Macaca fascicularis: one gene and its partner. The protein of the gene in region 1 binds, or shares a complex with, the protein of each later gene. Links are inferred from orthologs where the notes say so. Each region holds a gene or a part of one and is shown on either strand. Other genes may lie near its edges.

Region 1 (3,500 bases):
CCCAGGCTAATTTCAAGTCAATCACTGTTAAGAGAAGCTATAATTGCAAAATAAAAGTGTTAACATTAGATAAGGCTTCAAAGATCCTCCAGTCCAACCCCGTATTTTCCAGATGGAGACACTGAGGCCCACAAATTGCAGGTGATAAGTCTGGGCAAACACTGTGGCTAAGCAGAGCCAAATCCAAGCTTCCTTATCACCTGGAAGTCGTGGTCTGTCCACTGTATCTCATGGCATCCTTGCCTTTTTGCTAGGGCTGTTCCCCCGCCTTCCTCCCACAAATCACTTACTGTTGGTTTCATTTTTCCACTTGCAGAAAAAGTTAGAAAACCTCAAGAGCTTAGACCTTTTCAATTGCGAGGTAACCAACCTGAACGACTACCGAGAAAATGTGTTCAAGCTCCTCCCGCAGCTCACATATCTCGACGGCTACGACCGAGACGACAAGGAGGCCCCTGACTCGGATGCTGAGGGCTACGTGGAGGGCCTGGATGACGAGGAGGAGGATGAGGATGGTGGGTGACAGGGGGTGGCCCAGGGCTGCAGGGGCCCAGCTGAGGCCTTGGGGCTCCTCCTTGGCTTTGCAGAGGTGGGTGGGCTGGGTGTTGGGAGGCCCCCACCCAGCTACTGAAGGCTGGCTGGCTGGCTGGCTGGCTGGCTAGCTGGCAGCTACCTCCTTCCAAAGCTAGGGAGGGGAGTGGGGCTGTCTGCTTTATTTTCCATAGTCCCTAACCTGTCTCATTGGTTGTCTTCCCTAAAAGAACAAAGTATGAGTCCCATGCTCATGGAAATATCCTGAGATTCTCCAACTGCGTAATAACTCCTTTAAAATCATCCAGCTGAATCCCCACTTCAATTTTTGTCCCTTTCCAAAGCCCTTCAGGGAGTGGTATTCTACTGTCATCCTATAGTGTGACCCGCACTTAGACACTCTCTCAGGGAGGGAGGGAGGGGATAGAGAGAGAAGAGGGTGTAGACCCCCCTTTCCTGTCTAGGTATTCAGTAGTGGAGAGGAGGTCCAGAGCTAGAGGGGTTGTGGGGCCCCCTGGTAGTTGCAGCCCACAGCCCCACACTTAGGGGCACTGGCTCAGGTGCTCAGGAGCCACAAGTGCTGGGAAGTTGAGGGCTGCAGGCCGCCTGTAGGGTTCCCTGGCAGTGTGGTGTGCAGTCGCGGCCTACAGGAAGGAAAGAGGGAAAAGAATGGGGTTCTTCGTCCTGTTACATCCCCTTCTCCCTTGCCACCAGCACAGTGCAGCTTTCCCATGGGTCTTCGTGGCCAGATAAAGTTGAGAATGGAGACACTTGCCTGATTGATTCAGATACAGGATTTTGGTTTTCCTTGTTCAATTGGGAGTGTTTTGCAAGATACTCAGAGACCGTGTTTGCCTTGGTGGGGATCTTGTGATATGGCAGAAAGGAGCCAAAACTGGCAGTCCCAGTACCAGGTCCCCTAGGCCCAGCTCAACCAGTGACTCAATGTGTGACCTTGAACAAGTCAGTTCTCTCTGTGCCTCGGATCTCTCACCTTTAATGTGAGGAGTTTGGATTGACCTTGCCGCTCTCCCGGGCCCTGGAACTTATTGTTCCGCTCTGACAATTTCCTGGTGGTCTCAGTGTGAGAGACCTCCAGAAGGGGTCTTTCACATTCATAACACTTGTGAGGGGGGGCTTATCTTTGGCACAACTTCAGGATGTGTTTAATTATGTCGGCATTGTTTTCATGAGAGTTAGTGTGTTCAATCTTTGGGCTTAGGTGGGTGTGGCAGGGTCGTGAGCCCCACACTGAAGACGCTACAGGGGCCTGTGCTATGTGGGGGCGGAGCCAGCTCACCACTAGTTCTGTTTCCATTCCCCATTTCCATTGCACAGAGGAGGAGTATGATGAAGATGCTCAGGTAGTGGAAGACGAGGAGGACGAGGATGAGGAGGAGGAAGGTGAAGAGGAGGACGTGAGTGGAGAGGAGGAGGTAAGGAGGCTGGGCTGGGCTGGGCAGGGCCACCGTCTGCCCCTTTGAGGCAGTCCCACTGACTGCCTCTGTGATCAGTCTTGGCAACCCTGGAGCCCTGGTTAGGAAAGTCGCTCCCCCGTGGGTAGTGAAGTGAGTCCATTTCAGAGCCTTTCACTGGACTGTTTCTGGGGAGACAAGACTTGCAGCAAGCTCTGGGGAGGCTGGATTAGAAGAGGGGAAGAGGATTTTAGAGGCAGGGACTGAACCTGCTGGGGTAAGCCTGGCCATTGTTTCTGTGTGAAGAAGTACAGAATGCATGACCCCATTTTCTGCTTTTTGCTTTCATATGCTAATTAAGATATTCATTGAGCACTTAAACTGTGCTGGGGAAAACCAAAGACTGCCTTGAACTGATAGGTAGCAGGATAACACTGCTGGATCCCAAATCAGAGAGTGACACTATGGAAATAGAGCGTCAGGAGTTGGCCATTTTCCTAAACAGATTGGCTGGTTCCCAGTTTTTTAACAAGATCTGTGAGGGGGTGAGTCCTAGATCTACCACTTACTAGCTGTGTGTCCCCGGACAATTTACCTGACCTTTCTGAGCCTATTTCTTCATCTGTAAAACAGGGATCATGATAGCTTTCTCACAGGGTTGTTAAGAGGATAAAGTGAAGTGTAAGTAAAATGCTTAAGGACAATGTCTGACAAGGGGTAAGTGTCTGACTGCTTATTGTAGGCGTTCACACCCTCCTCCAGGTTCCTGGCACTGTGTTGGGTTTTGTGTTTGTGTGTTCTGAGTCTCTCTGTAGCAGAGTCATTTTCTATAACTTGCTCAGAATTCTAAATCAACTCTTGCTAATTGCAGAAGTTAGACCTAGAGAGTTTTAAAGTGACAATAGCATGGACAAGGTACCTGTGTCCCCTCCCAACTCCCCCCGCAGTTTCCTGTCTCCCTCAATGGAGGATGCAGACACATCCGCTTGCCACACGGACTCACTCAGATAGTGTCTTCCAGTTTCAGCCAGCCGGCCCAGGCTTGAGAGACACAGGCCAATGACAATAGAAAAGCGGAGGCCAGGCGCGGTGGCTTATGCCTATAATCCTAACACTTTGGGAGGCCGAGGTGAGCAGATCGCTTGAGGTCAGGAGTTCGAGGCCAGTCTAGGCAACATGGCGAGACTCCTTCTCTACTAAAAATATAAAAATTAGCCAGGCATGTTGACGGACACCTGCAATTCCAGCTACGCAGGAGGCTGGGGCACGAGAATCACTTGAACCTGGGAGGCAGAGGTTGCAGTGAGCCAAGATGGCACCACTGCACTCCAGCCTGGGCAATAGAACGAGACTCAGTCCAAAAAAAAAAGCTGGCGAGATGAGCTTGGTTTCTGTTTAGTTGTGCTGCTGACTTTGTCTTCTCCCTAGGTCTAGACTCTTAGGCTCATCTCTAAAGAATATTGTATTTTAAAAATAAAGTCTTAGTAAAACAGGTTTCCCTACAACAGGGCAGTAAGTTGTATTGGCTAATAGCTGTTTCGTCTTCCCCTTCCT
Region 2 (4,138 bases), on another chromosome or scaffold:
TTAGAGACCGAGTCTCGCTCTGTCACCCAGGCTGGAGTGCCCTGGCGCAATCTCGACTCACTGCAACCTCTGCCTCCCGGGTTCAAGCGATTCTCCTGCCTCAGCCTCCCGAGTAGCTGGGACTACAGGCGCCTGCAACCACGCCCTGCTAATTTTTGTGTTTTTAGTAGAGACGAGGTTTCACCATGTTGCCCAGGCTGGTCTCGAATTCCTGAGCTCAAGTGATCCTCCCGCCGCCGCTTCCCAATGTGCTGGGATTACGGGCGTGAGCCACCGTGCTAGGCCAAAAAAGTTTTAAATTTCAGTACGTTCCAATTTATCAACTTTTTCCTTTTATAGATTGGTCTTTTGGTGTCGTCTAAAAACTATTTGCCTGGCCCTAGGTCCTGAGAATTTTTTTTAACTCTTTTTTTTTCCCCATCAGTGATTTATTGTTTTATGTTTAAATCTATGGTTCATTTTGAGTGAATTTTGTATAAGGTGTGAGGTTTAGGTTGAGGTTCTTTGGGTCTATATTTGTCCAATTTACCCAGCATCATTTGTTGAAAAGGCTCCTGATTCCATTTTTGTACCTCTCCCCTGAGAGCAGTGGGAATGTTTTTTTGAAAAAGTATGTCAGTGATGATGTGATGCCTTGTGCAAAATCCGTATTGGCATCTCACAGCGTAAGATTTGGCTCTATTCTAACGGCATTTTCTACCACTCGATATCCACTGTAATACTTGGCTCTCAGGGAATCACTGGGCTGGCTCGCTCACTTCATGCAGGTCCATTCTATTATCACTTCCTCAGAGATTTCTCTGGCCTTTTCTTCACAGCACTTACATAATGAGATCTATTACATATTAATTTGCTTATCTGTTTCTTGTTTTCCTATACTCCTGTCCCTCCCAGAAGCTCCAAGAAAGCATACTGTTGTATCCCTAGGGCCTAGAATAATGCGTCCACATAGTAGGTATTCAATAAAATCTTTTGCTTGACAGGTTAGAAAAGGTGAATAAACACAAAGCGGGAGCGAAAAGTTTACTTCTAGGTCAGGCGCTTTTTGGACGTCATGCAAAGTGTGAGCGCCACCTCTCGGGAAGCCAATTTGCTCGCGAACAAAGGAAGTGAGTCAGAGAACCCGGGGGTGGAGGGAAGAAAGCAAGCAGCTAACCGGAAAGGTCTGAAAAAGCTGGCGCCGGAAGTTAAACAGCAGAAAGTTGTTCCCTAGAATGACTGCCTACTCCCAAGAGGAAGCGTGGGCGAGCGGTGTTCTGCAAAATGGGCTCTCCGGCAGCGGATCTGCGCGGAAGCGTTCCGTGCGTGCGAGTGCTGCGAACCACGTGGGTCCCCGGCGCGTTTCGGGTTCCGGCGGCTGCAGCCGGAGTTCAAGACTAACCAGCTGGAAGGGTAAGAGGTGTTCGGGATCCTGAGAGGGAAAGGAAAGGAGTGTAGTCGCCGGAGAGAGTTAGGTGAGGAGTTAGTGAAGAGGTCAGTTCAGCTCTAAGAGGCGGCGAGGAGGATCGGATGGGAGGAGGGGCAGGGAGCGCCTGTGGACAAGTGCAGACCGGTCGGCGCACATCCCATGCCACATGGACTCTCCTTTGTCGGTGGCCGCCTTTCTCGTCAGGCCGCGACGACAGGGCTGTGCCTTATTTGCCTCTGTCGAGAGCAGTGCCGGGAACGGAGTTGGCGTTCTATAAGGCCTTGCTGAATAAATGACGGGCGTGTGTGTCATTCATTCAGCAAGGACTGAGTGCTTACTGTTGTGTCACCGGGATCGATGTGGAGGGACATTTTTAGGATCTATTTCTGGCACTTTAGTCCTGTTTTCTCCTGGACAATATTCTTGCCCCGCACCCCATCGGGCGATTCTCCGCAGTCTTTGGGCTTTGTCTCTTTTTTTTTTGGAAGTTGCAGAGTGATGATAAATGATTTTCTTTGCTCTTATTGACTGCTAGGCCCTGTGGCTAGGTACCATAGACCTACACAGGAGTAAATCAGCCTGGTATGCAGGCCAGAGACCGGTGGGGAGGCAGACACACAAACAGAAAGTTGGGCTACGGTGCTAAGATGCTGTAAGAAGAGGTTAACTAAAGGACAGGAAGGTGGGGCCAATAGGTGGAGCTGCTGTGTACATCAGAGATTGTCTTTCAAGGCGAGGGGCTTCCCATCTCAAGATGTGATACAGGGTACATCATGAGCCAGTATTCTGTAAAATGAGGGATCTGGACAGAATAGGTACTCTCTAGGCTTCCTTTCAGTATGATGTCCCGTATCAGGTATTCCTAATGTCTGTAGCTCTCCCACACCCCACCGTTTATTGGCTAGTCAAAATATTCTTTGCATTGTAAAGTGTAGCATACATTACAAGAATGGATTAATGGGTTGGGAATGCTGGGTTTTGGCCTTCATTCTGGTGCTCTGGTCCTGTTTCCTCATTTGTAAAACGAAGGGGGTTGTAAAGATATATTCTCTAAAACCCCTAATGCTATGGATGTGACATTAAGTCAAACTATTATTTCTTACTGCTTTGTGCCAGACATCACTTTCACATTAGTAAAACTTTGTATCAGTGTAGTTTCTCCCAAGCTTGATTACTGAGAAAGATAGTTTTTACCTCCTGTATCCTAGTTCCACCACAGTGTTTGGTACACAGTAGATGCTTAAAAGAAGCTTATTACATCAAATGGTGGCCAGGCACGGGGCTCATGCCTGTAGTCCCAGCACTTTGGGGGGCTGAGGCCGGTGGATTACTTGAGGTCAGGAGTTGGAGACCAGCCTGGCCAACATAGTGAAACCCCATCTCTACTAAAAAAAAAAAAATACAAAAATTAGCTGGGCGTGGTGGCACGCGCCTGTAGTCCCAGCTATTCAGGAGGTTGAGGTAGGAGAATAGCTTGCCTGGGAAGTGGAGGTTGCAGTGAGCCGAGGTCGCGCCACTGCATTCCATCCTGGGCGACAGAGCAAGACCCCATACCAAAAAAAAAAAAAAGGGGCTGGGCGCGGTGGCTTATGGCCATAATCCCAGCACTTTGGTAGGCTGAGGTGGGTGGATCAGTTGAGGACAGGAGTTTGAGACCAGCCTGGGCAACATGGCGAAACCCCATCTCTAAAAAAACCACAAAAACCAAAACAAAAATAAAATAAATCAAATGGGATAGAAATTATAGTCCTTGCTTTTGGATCCTTTCCCACATTGACATATTTGTTCATAGATGAGGGGACTGGGGAGGAACTGGGTTTTTAGCAGAGGGAGACCTGCAGCTGACCTGACAGATTTGAACCAGCTTTATGGGATAATCCGCTTGAGGAGGATGACGATGTAGGCAAGTGATTCAGCGCCGTTTCATTCCTCTACCTGCCTATCCCCAGGACCATGGCCAACTGTGAGCGGACCTTCATTGCCATCAAACCAGATGGGGTCCAGCGGGGTCTTGTCGGAGAGATTATCAAGCGTTTTGAGCAGAAAGGATTCCGCCTTGTTGGTCTGAAATTCATGCAAGTAAGTGGACTTCATTGTTCCCATTTTGATTTCTTCATAGTATGGGAGAACACTGTGATTAACCTGTTTCTCCCCGGCTTTCTTATTTAAACTTCTTCATGGTAGAGGGACAGAGTGGACACAAGTATCTAGAGACCTGGAAACACCTCAGTGCCCTAGCGTTTGGCTACGTTTAGGATTTTCCAAAATAGTCTCTGTAATATGAGGTGCATTGCTATGGGAAAAGCAGTGCAGAGTTCCACATATGACTGCATCTCTGTAATTTGTGACTCAGCTGAGCATGTTTGAGTTCTTGGTCTTGAGCTTCCTGAGCAGATAATTTTAGAGAGATTTTTTTCCCCCTTTGAGACAGGTTGTGTTTTTAGCAAGAAAATCTTCCATCAGCAATTACTAGACACCCATCAATGCTTATTGTCTAGCATTTATTAGGTACCATAGGAGCTTGTGGAGGAAAACTATGGTTTTGGTTTTGGGAAGGTTCTCCTGAAATAGCAGAGAGCAGATGTACCTGCAAGCTACTTACAAAGCAATCTTCTGATAAATGCAAGGGATTGATTGACCAGTAACCCCTCTTTAAACACATTCTAGAGATAAAAATTCAAATTCTTGGCTGGGCGAGGCACAGTGGCTCATGCCTGTAATCCCAGCACT

What was found. The genes of interacting proteins can lie anywhere in the genome.
Region 2: ANP32A (region 1) and nucleoside diphosphate kinase A share a complex: the UniProt entries of both Homo sapiens proteins name them as parts of the SET complex. The link is inferred for Macaca fascicularis from reciprocal best matches to the Homo sapiens genes ANP32A and NME1.

Annotation. Positions count from the first base shown.
Region 1 is NC_088381.1:45,550,564-45,554,063, reverse strand, and holds part of ANP32A (acidic leucine-rich nuclear phosphoprotein 32 family member A), read left to right. Parts: intron 1-316; coding exon 317-515; intron 516-1,869; coding exon 1,870-1,967; intron 1,968-3,500. UniProt on the Homo sapiens protein: Multifunctional protein that is involved in the regulation of many processes including tumor suppression, apoptosis, cell cycle progression or transcription. Promotes apoptosis by favouring the activation of caspase-9/CASP9 and allowing apoptosome formation.
Region 2 is NC_088390.1:55,553,380-55,557,517, reverse strand, and holds the start of nucleoside diphosphate kinase A, read left to right. Parts: upstream 1-1,338; 5' UTR 1,339-1,392; exon of another isoform or gene 1,393-1,454; intron 1,455-3,357; 5' UTR 3,358-3,361; coding exon 3,362-3,487; intron 3,488-4,138. UniProt on the Homo sapiens protein: Major role in the synthesis of nucleoside triphosphates other than ATP. The ATP gamma phosphate is transferred to the NDP beta phosphate via a ping-pong mechanism, using a phosphorylated active-site intermediate.